Linked DNA regions of Rattus norvegicus. The protein of the gene in region 2 interacts with the protein of the main gene of each other region in a biochemical or structural test. Links are inferred from orthologs where the notes say so. Each region holds a gene or a part of one and is shown on either strand. Other genes may lie near its edges.

Region 1 (3,809 bases), about 6.0 Mb from region 2:
TCTTTGCTTTCAGAGTACCTGGATTAAAGGCATGCACTACTACACCTCAGATTTTTTTTAAACTACCACTATGAAATCCTTTTTCAATACTGAATTTTTAATGTTTTAAATTATATAATGACCCTGAAAAATATCTTATGTTAAAAGAAAAAGGATAAAAAGAAGCAGATCTCTGAGAAATTTAAAGCCAGCCTTGTCTACATAGAGAGTCCCAGGACAACCAGGGCTATGCAAAAAGATTCTATTTCAGGAAAAGAAAAACAGGCCAGGCAGCGGTGGTTCATGTCTTTAATTAAGACCAGCACTTGGGAGACAGATGCAAACGGACCTCTGTGAGTTTGGGGCCAGCCTGAGCTACAGAAGAAGTTCCAAGACAGCCAGGGCTACACAGAAAAACTGTCTTGAAAAAACAAAAAAGAAAAAAAGAAAAAGGAAAAACAAAACAAAGGATACGAAGTTACTCTACTTTTGAGATCAAAAACGTCAAAACAGGATTACAGACTGACACATGCAACCTATATCCACAACAGCCTTGTTCACAGGAACTAAAGACGCAAGCCGCCCAATGCCCATTCACAGAGGAGAAGAAATGATGGAGTGGAGTTCTTAATCCATTTTCTGTAAGAAGGGGGAATGAACAAATTCTCAAAAGCTGTACTTTGAACTCCACACTCATGCAGGCAGGCACAGACATCACTCACACACACACACACACACACACACACACACACATTTAAAAAATTTTGTAAACAAAAAAAAAATCCAGTCACAACAACATAAACAAACCTTGAAGACACTAAAGTTAAATCAACCAGTCACATAAACAATAATAAATATTTTAAAACCATCTCGGTATGGTGGCACAGTTTTAATTTTTAATTCCAGCACTTGAGAGGTTAGAGGCAGGGAGATCTCTGATTTGGAGGCCAGTATGATCTACATAGTGAGATCTAGGCCAGCCAGGGCTATACAGTTGAGACCTAGTCTCAAAAAACAGGATAGACAAGAGATTAAATTTGTAATGTTTTGTTTTGTTTTGGGGTTCTTTTGCTGTTGTTGTTGTTGTTTTGTTTTGTTTTGTTTTTACTGCAATTAAAATAAGTAAGATGCTGGGGGAAAAACTCAGGGATAGAGCACTTGCCTAGCAGGCACTAAGTCCCACCACCTCAAAACAAATGATGAGACGAACAAAAAACAAGACTGGGGATGGAGCCCAGAGGTGTGGTGCTTGCCTGTCATATACAAGGCCCTGTGTTCACTCCTACTACTGTGAAACAAGACCTATAAATAAACAATACCAAGATAATAACTTATATATTACAAAAATTAAAACAATTCTTCAGGGGCTAGAGAGGTAGCTCAGCACATAAAAAGCACTCACTGCTCTTCCAAAGGACTAGGGGTTTGGTTCCCAGCACCCATGTGCTAGCTCACAATTATCTCTAACTCCAGTTGCAGGGATCTGATGCCCTCTTCTAGCTCCTGAGAGCACCAAGCATTCAAACAGTACACAAGCATGCAGCCAAAACACTCTTTACACATAAAACAAACCTTTTAAAACCTATAACTTAAAAAGAACTGTTCAGGGGTTGGGGATTTAGCTCAGTGGTAGAGCGCTTGCCTAGCAAGTGGAAGGCCCTGGGTTCGGTCCCCAGCTCCGAAAAAAAGAAAAAAAGAAAAAAAGAAAAAATAAATAAATAAAAAGAACTGTTCAGATGATTACAGCGCCCTCATGAAAAAGAAAATAAAAGGCACTGAAAATCTATAGAGAGAGATGACATAGTTGAACACACCTTCTGTAGAACTTCCCTCTCTTCTCAGCACAATGAGACTCAGAGTATTATAGCGGAAACAAGAGAAGGGACAGTAAATGCTCCCTGCTGCTGAGCCATCACCTCTCCAGACCCAAACCTGCTCTAAAAAATTTGTGATGCCAAGGTTACAGAGGTGACTCAGAGGTTAAGAGCACTGACTGCTCTTCCAGAGGTTCTGAGTTCAATTCCCAGCAACCACATGGTGGCTCACAACCATCTATGATGAGGTCTGGTGCCCTCTTCTGGCCTGCAGGCACACAAACAGGCAGAATGCTGTATACAAAATAAATTTATAAAAAAAAATTGTGATGCCATGTATATTCCCCATATTAAGCAGAAAAAAAAAAAAGAGAAATATATGTGTCTATTTTCATCTGGAAAGAAGGAGGAAATTATGTAAGAAGTCAGAAATTATATAAGGGAAAATATACAGACATATACAACCATAAAAAATGAACTAAATATATCAAATTACTAGTGGGCTTTCCTTCTTTATAATATTCTCAATTGGGGTTGGGGATTTAGCTCAGTGGTAGAGCACTTGCCTAGCAAGCGCAAGGCCCTGGGTTCGGTCCCCAGCTCCGGAAAAAAATAAAATAAAATAATATTCTCAATTGTACTGTGTTTCTGAGGAGAAAGAAGTTTTAAACAAAGTGTGTACTAGTTACACGTATAATATGTAAACAGATTGATATATGTATATATAAAATGATATGTATATAAAATGAAGTTATTTAAATACAATCAATAAATAAAAAAATCCCAACTGAGTGCAGTATGACACTGAAAAAGCTCAAACTCTGTGCCTCCTTTTTCTCATCTATAATATGGAGGTCACAGCTACTTCTTAGTGCTGATGATATGGGTATGAAATAAATTGCCAGGTTAAACGCACTTTGGCACAGTGACTGAAAGAAATTTAAAGGCATATAAAACTAGAACTTCAGAGAAACTGAAGGCTGGAAACAGCTTGGAAGCAGAGTGCTTACCCAGCATGCTCAAGACCCTGTGATCCTAGCACCATCAAAAGGCTTAGTCCTTGACTTACTCAGGGACCAGGCAATGGATAAATACTTGCCAAGTTATAAAGCTTACTTACCTCTTGCTTCATCCTTTAACCTCTGTACTGAGACCAACAAAGATTCCTTTTCATCAAGTTCACTTTCTAAAAATGCATTTCGTTCAATGGCCTGATTTAGCCTTTGTTCAAAGTCTTCCAGTGAAACTATTGTTGCCCTTTAAAACAAAATTATTTGAAGCCCATGAATTAAACAGCATGTACAAACAGCTAGTACAAAAGAAAATCAGTTTATCTCCTGCCATTCTTAACCAAGTCAACCTGACCCAATTTGGAGAATGATCTCACTCCATTCAGCAAAAATTAACACATACTTACTCTTGTAGCCTCCCATTCCCTGGTTATCTGCTACAGAAATAAAATTCTCCAACCTAAAGTTACAACTCAGAATACCAATTCCAACCTTTTTTTTTTCCTATGGGGACACTGTAGCTATCTTTATACACACCAGAAGAGGGCACAGGATCCCATTACAGATGTTTGTGAGCCACTCTGTAGTTGCTGGGAATTGAATTCAAACCTCTGGAAAAGCAGTCAGCACTTCTTGATGAGGTTTCTCAAGCCCTAAAACAGTCTCTTAATAAAATACTTCCTGGGGTTGGGGATTTAGCTCAGCGGTACAGCGCTTGCCTATCGAGCACAAGGCCCTGGGTTCAGTTCCCGGCTCTGAAAAAAAAGAAAAAAAAAAAAAACCTTCCTGCTCTGAAGCCTCTTCACTGTCTCTCTGCCTAGTTAACTTTTCTTCTTTGCAGACTGGGCCCCAACTTGTAAAAAGGCTTTCTCAGGGCTGGGGATTTAGCTCAGTGGTTGGTAGAGCGCTTACCTAGGAAGCGCAAGGCCCTGGGTTCCGTCCCCAGCTCCGAAAAAAAGAAAAGAAAAAAGAAAAAAAAGAAAAAGAAAAAGTAACAGACACTCTG
Region 2 (4,496 bases):
TTAAAAACATTTGAGTTTCCCAGGTAGTCCTCGAACTTGGGATCCTCGTTCCTCAAGCCATTCCATGCTGGAATAACAGATGTGTGCTTCTACCCAAGGTTTTCTTGCTATCATTTACTTTTTGAGGCAGGGTTTCTCTATGTAGCTGTCTGTCCTGGAATTCACAGGGTCGAGAAGGCTCTTGAACTTGGGAGAGATCCACCTGTCTCTGCCTCCACAGTGCTGATGTTAAAAAACACCGTGTCCAGCTGTGAATCATTGTTTTAAGATAGGGTTTTACTATGTGCATCATGCTGGCTTTGAACTTGTGGTAAGCCTCCTGCTTCTGTCTCAATGTTAGGATTACAGATGTGAGGACACTTGTTTATTACTATCGTCATTTTTTTTTTTTTTAAAAGAAGGATGCTTCTGAGGCTTGCAGAGAACTTCTGGGCTCCTGCTATTCTCCTGCCTCCCAAGTAGCTTGGCCTATGTGCCACTTTGTTTGGCTACTAGGTTTATTTTATTCTGATACTGAGGCCAAAAAAAGAGATATGGTAACTTAGTCAAGGTCATATTCCCAGCAAGTGGTGACACCAGGATTCATACTGGAGACATTAACTCTGCAGCTTCCCAAGTGCATTGTACAATATTTACCTTCATAGAGGGAAATAATAAAATTGGTTAACCCTGAGTGCTGGGAAATGCAAGTGGATAATGAAGTAATCTCATTCAATACTTAAATATCCTATATTGAATTATTCAGAGCCCCAAACCTACACTTTCAAAAATCAAGTATCTCCTTGTGGAATAAATTGACCACAAATCCCTCAGACTTGTCATCAATATTTCAATTCACAATATAATAAAATACAGACATGTCTTGTAGGGAATAAAGTTCTGGGTCTTTCTGTGGACGTCAGTTTCCAGAATCTCTGATGTATACGTGTGACTAAGGAAAAGAATAGCTGAATCACATCTACGGGCGATTCCTTCCAATTAAAAATCTGTAACAGAAAGGAACACAAGGCAGTCCATCTGCCTCTTAACCTCAACAGCTCTTCGGCCCAAGCCCACCAATTTACTTTGGTCCTTTTGAGTGGGTGATGGGGAATAATTCCACAGGCTAAGGCAGAGAGGAAGCATCCTGATTTAGCTCCTGCTGCAGCAAGCCGGGGGGCCGAGATGCCAGTGCACCGGGAACCGCGGTTTGCCCCGACAGCGCAGTGACGGCTAAAGCAAAGCTAGAGTCGTGATAGGCCCCAACAGTCAGACGAGAGTCTAGAGCAAAAGAGGCTCTTCCCAAGGGAACAGGGGACAGAAGAGAGAAAAAAGCCGCGGACTGGGCGCAAGCTTGCCCACTGGCTCCGGTACAACCTCTAGATCAACCCGTAGAAGGGCGTGCGGCCCAGGGCCAGGCCCAGGCTCAGGCCCGGCCCGGCTCGGCTCGGCTCGGCTCGGCCCGCGCATGCGCCGCGGGCCCTCCGCGCCCCCCCTTTTCCTGGCGGGTCTGGGGCGGCGGCGGCGCGGTGACGTCAGGGCGTTGGGGCAGCTCCTGTGACAGACGGAGCTGGAGCGGCGGGGCGGCGGCGGAGTCCGGCGGCCGAGATAGCGAGTGAGGGAGCGAACGAGCAGCGACCCGAGAGTCCAGGGAGCGAGGAGGAGCCGGAGGGGAGCGCTCAGGCGCGAGCGAGAGGACGCGCGAACGCTGGGCTAGGGCTCGAGCCCCGGAACGGCTGAGGAGCCCGCCCGCGGCCCTCCCCTCCCCCTCCCCGGGACCGGGCCCAGCGCGCCATCCTCCCCCTCCCTCCCTCCCTCCCTCCTTCCTCCCTTCCCTCTCCCTCCCCCTCCCCCGCTGGTGGATGGGAGTGAAGGACGGAAGAGGCCCTGCGGAGGCGGTGGTGCAGCGCTCCGGTAAGGCGGCGACGCTCTACGCCCTCCCCTCTGTCTTTTCCATCGCGCTCGGGCGGCTGCGGGCCGGGCCGGCGGCCTGACGATGTGGCTGCGCCGGTCCCCTCCCTCCCATTCTCCCCTCCCCCTGCCGCCGCTGCCTCCTCCTTCTTCTTCTCCTCTCCTCGCTCTCAAAATGGCGGCCGCGACGGCCGTTGAGTGAGAGGCACCGAGGAGGGGGCCCTGGCCTGGGAGGGCGCTGCCCTTGCTCCAGTCCTCCGACCCTGGCAGCAGGCTACTTGGGCCGCTGAGGCTTCAAACCGTGGCCTCTCGGCGGCATCGCCCTCCTGCCGCCGTGACTTAGCAAGAAAAGTATTCTTGGGTGGGAAGGGCGTGGATAGCAGGTCGCTCTCTGATCTTGGGGAAAGGGCTCAGCCCTCCTGGGCCGCGGAAACGAACCCGCAGTCCCCACCCCTCCGCGGCTGGCGGCTCGCCGCCGGGGCTCCAGCAGCTACCAGGCCTTCCAGGCGTCCGGTTCTCCACTTGTCCTTAGGTTGGTGGTCGAACTGAAGAGGATGGTCGGCCGCGCAGGCCCTTGGCCCCCCGGTGCGGTAGGAGTCCAGGCTCTGCACTCACTAAAGATCTGCAGCATCCACCCACCGAATCGGGCAGGATTTTCCTTTTTGCTACTGACTCCTCGCACGGGAGTTGCCTTTTGACGTTGCTAACACTGAGCTAGTTCCTAGGTTCTCTGCCATTCCCTTCATCCCATCTCTCTACTCTATTAGGAAACGCCGTGACTATTTATTTACTGTCTCTAGCTTCCCAGGTGAGAAAAAATGTTTTTGAGACGATGGGCTTATTTTGATTCCTAAGAGGAGAAATTTTCACTATCTGAGATAGGAGAAAGCAAGGTGCTTTATTTGTTTTTCTGCCTGTTTTTTCCAGTGACTTAGCAAGAAACTCTTTGGGAGGAGTGCAGGAAATTTTCTGTTGAGGTTGGGTTTGGGTGTAATTCCTATCTTTTTTTTTTTTTTTTTGGTTAAGGAATTGTGCTTTTGAAGAAGAGTATCAGATTTGTGGTCTCATTCTCAATGGGCGATGTCATGTCAAGGACCGCCTCCCCACCCCCAAAAAAAAGGCAATTGGGAAAAAAATAAAATTATTACTGCTTTTCTTACCTTTAGTTTCTAACACACCCTCCTAAAGATTCATAACCTTTAAAAGATCCAGCAACAGAAAGGTCATTTTAGCAATTCTCTTTTTGTTGGGTTGGCTTGTTTTGTGTGAATTTTTTTCCGGGGGTGGGATGGTGGAGAGACTTTGTTTGGGCCTCATACCAGTAAGTGTCTTCCCCTCTTCATTTTGCCACAGCAGTGTTTGCTGTGTTTTCCCCTGCAGTAGAGCTAGATTGCTGCAGGATTCAATTCCTTAATCAGGAATATTTTTAGTTGGGTATGCTAGTAATACTATGTTGAATTCACATTAAAGCTTTAACTTTAAAAATTGGTTTGATTTTAAGGCTTTAGCAAGCTTTTATTTCTAATATGTGTCTTTCAGGACATAGTTGTGCAAAATAATTGGCAGTTACAAATTGCGGTTTTTTATTAACGCAGAATATGTATTTAGGGTAATTTATTCTTTCACGGTCTATTTAAAAGATCATTGTTTGATTTCAGAGGAAGGCTTTTCTATAATTTAAAGCTGGTATATATAATTTTAAGAGTCAGAAAGGAAACCAGTTTTTCACAAAATATTTTTGCATATGTTGGTGTTGACAGAGCACATACCCTGTTTTGGTACATTCTCCCACCCCCATAAAAACAGGCTAATATTTGTGGATGCCGTGAGCAGCCATTGAGCCGAGAGGACTGGGTGGAGTAAGGGTGCGACAGCGAAAGCTGGGAAATGCTCAGTTGCCCTTTCATCGAATCTTCTTCATCCTTAATGACTGTAAGGTTATTCGGTATTAATTGTAGCTACAATAAAGGCATTTCTCTATGGTGGATCTTAAAATCTCAGCCTTTCTACCCTTTTTTTTTTTTAAAGAAGAGCATTGATTAATTGGAATAAAGGCAGCATCCTTGCTCTGAAACAAGTACTTACTCTCCACATGTGTGTATGTATAAAAATATCCACATATATACTAATTATTCTACCCAAATGAGTGTTAAGTTAATGAATGCTAGGGATATTTGGCAACAAAAAGCATGGTATTGTGAAAAAAATCTAGTTAAGAATACTCATATTTACTAAAATCTTTTTTTAAAATTTCTTGATGAACATCAAAGATGAGAAAATAGAGAGTGGTTATTTTGTGTTAAGAGCTCTTTAAATAGGCCTTTTCTCTTGTGTTGCCTCTTGCACAGGACCTTTTTCTGTGATAAAAGAGCATAGCTCATGTTAGTGTCTTGTGGTCCTTAAAGAATTCTAAGTATGATATAATGTAATTCTGATGAATTATGTGTTGTAACTTTGTATTTTTACATTTTTTGTTATTTTCATGTAGTTAGAAAGTATTGTGATGGATGAGTACATTACTATATTGTGTCTCAAATATCCTTAGCCCTACTATTCCCAGTTAATAATGGTGCACCTCCACCCCAATCCCAGGGCCACCCAGGAGC

Evidence for each region.
Region 1: the proteins of Pafah1b1 (region 2) and Ndel1 form a complex in vitro, tested with the Homo sapiens proteins (3 studies listed by BioGRID). The link is inferred for Rattus norvegicus from reciprocal best matches to the Homo sapiens genes PAFAH1B1 and NDEL1.

What each region holds. Positions count from the first base shown.
Region 1 is NC_086028.1:54,044,780-54,048,588, forward strand, and holds part of Ndel1 (nuclear distribution protein nudE-like 1), read right to left. Parts: intron 3,051-3,809; coding exon 2,914-3,050; intron 1-2,913. UniProt on the Homo sapiens protein: Required for organization of the cellular microtubule array and microtubule anchoring at the centrosome. May regulate microtubule organization at least in part by targeting the microtubule severing protein KATNA1 to the centrosome.
Region 2 is NC_086028.1:60,087,274-60,091,769, reverse strand, and holds the start of Pafah1b1 (platelet-activating factor acetylhydrolase IB subunit alpha), read left to right. Parts: upstream 1-1,573; 5' UTR 1,574-1,893; intron 1,894-1,900; exon of another isoform or gene 1,901-2,698; intron 2,699-4,496. UniProt on the Homo sapiens protein: Regulatory subunit (beta subunit) of the cytosolic type I platelet-activating factor (PAF) acetylhydrolase (PAF-AH (I)), an enzyme that catalyzes the hydrolyze of the acetyl group at the sn-2 position of PAF and its analogs and participates in PAF inactivation.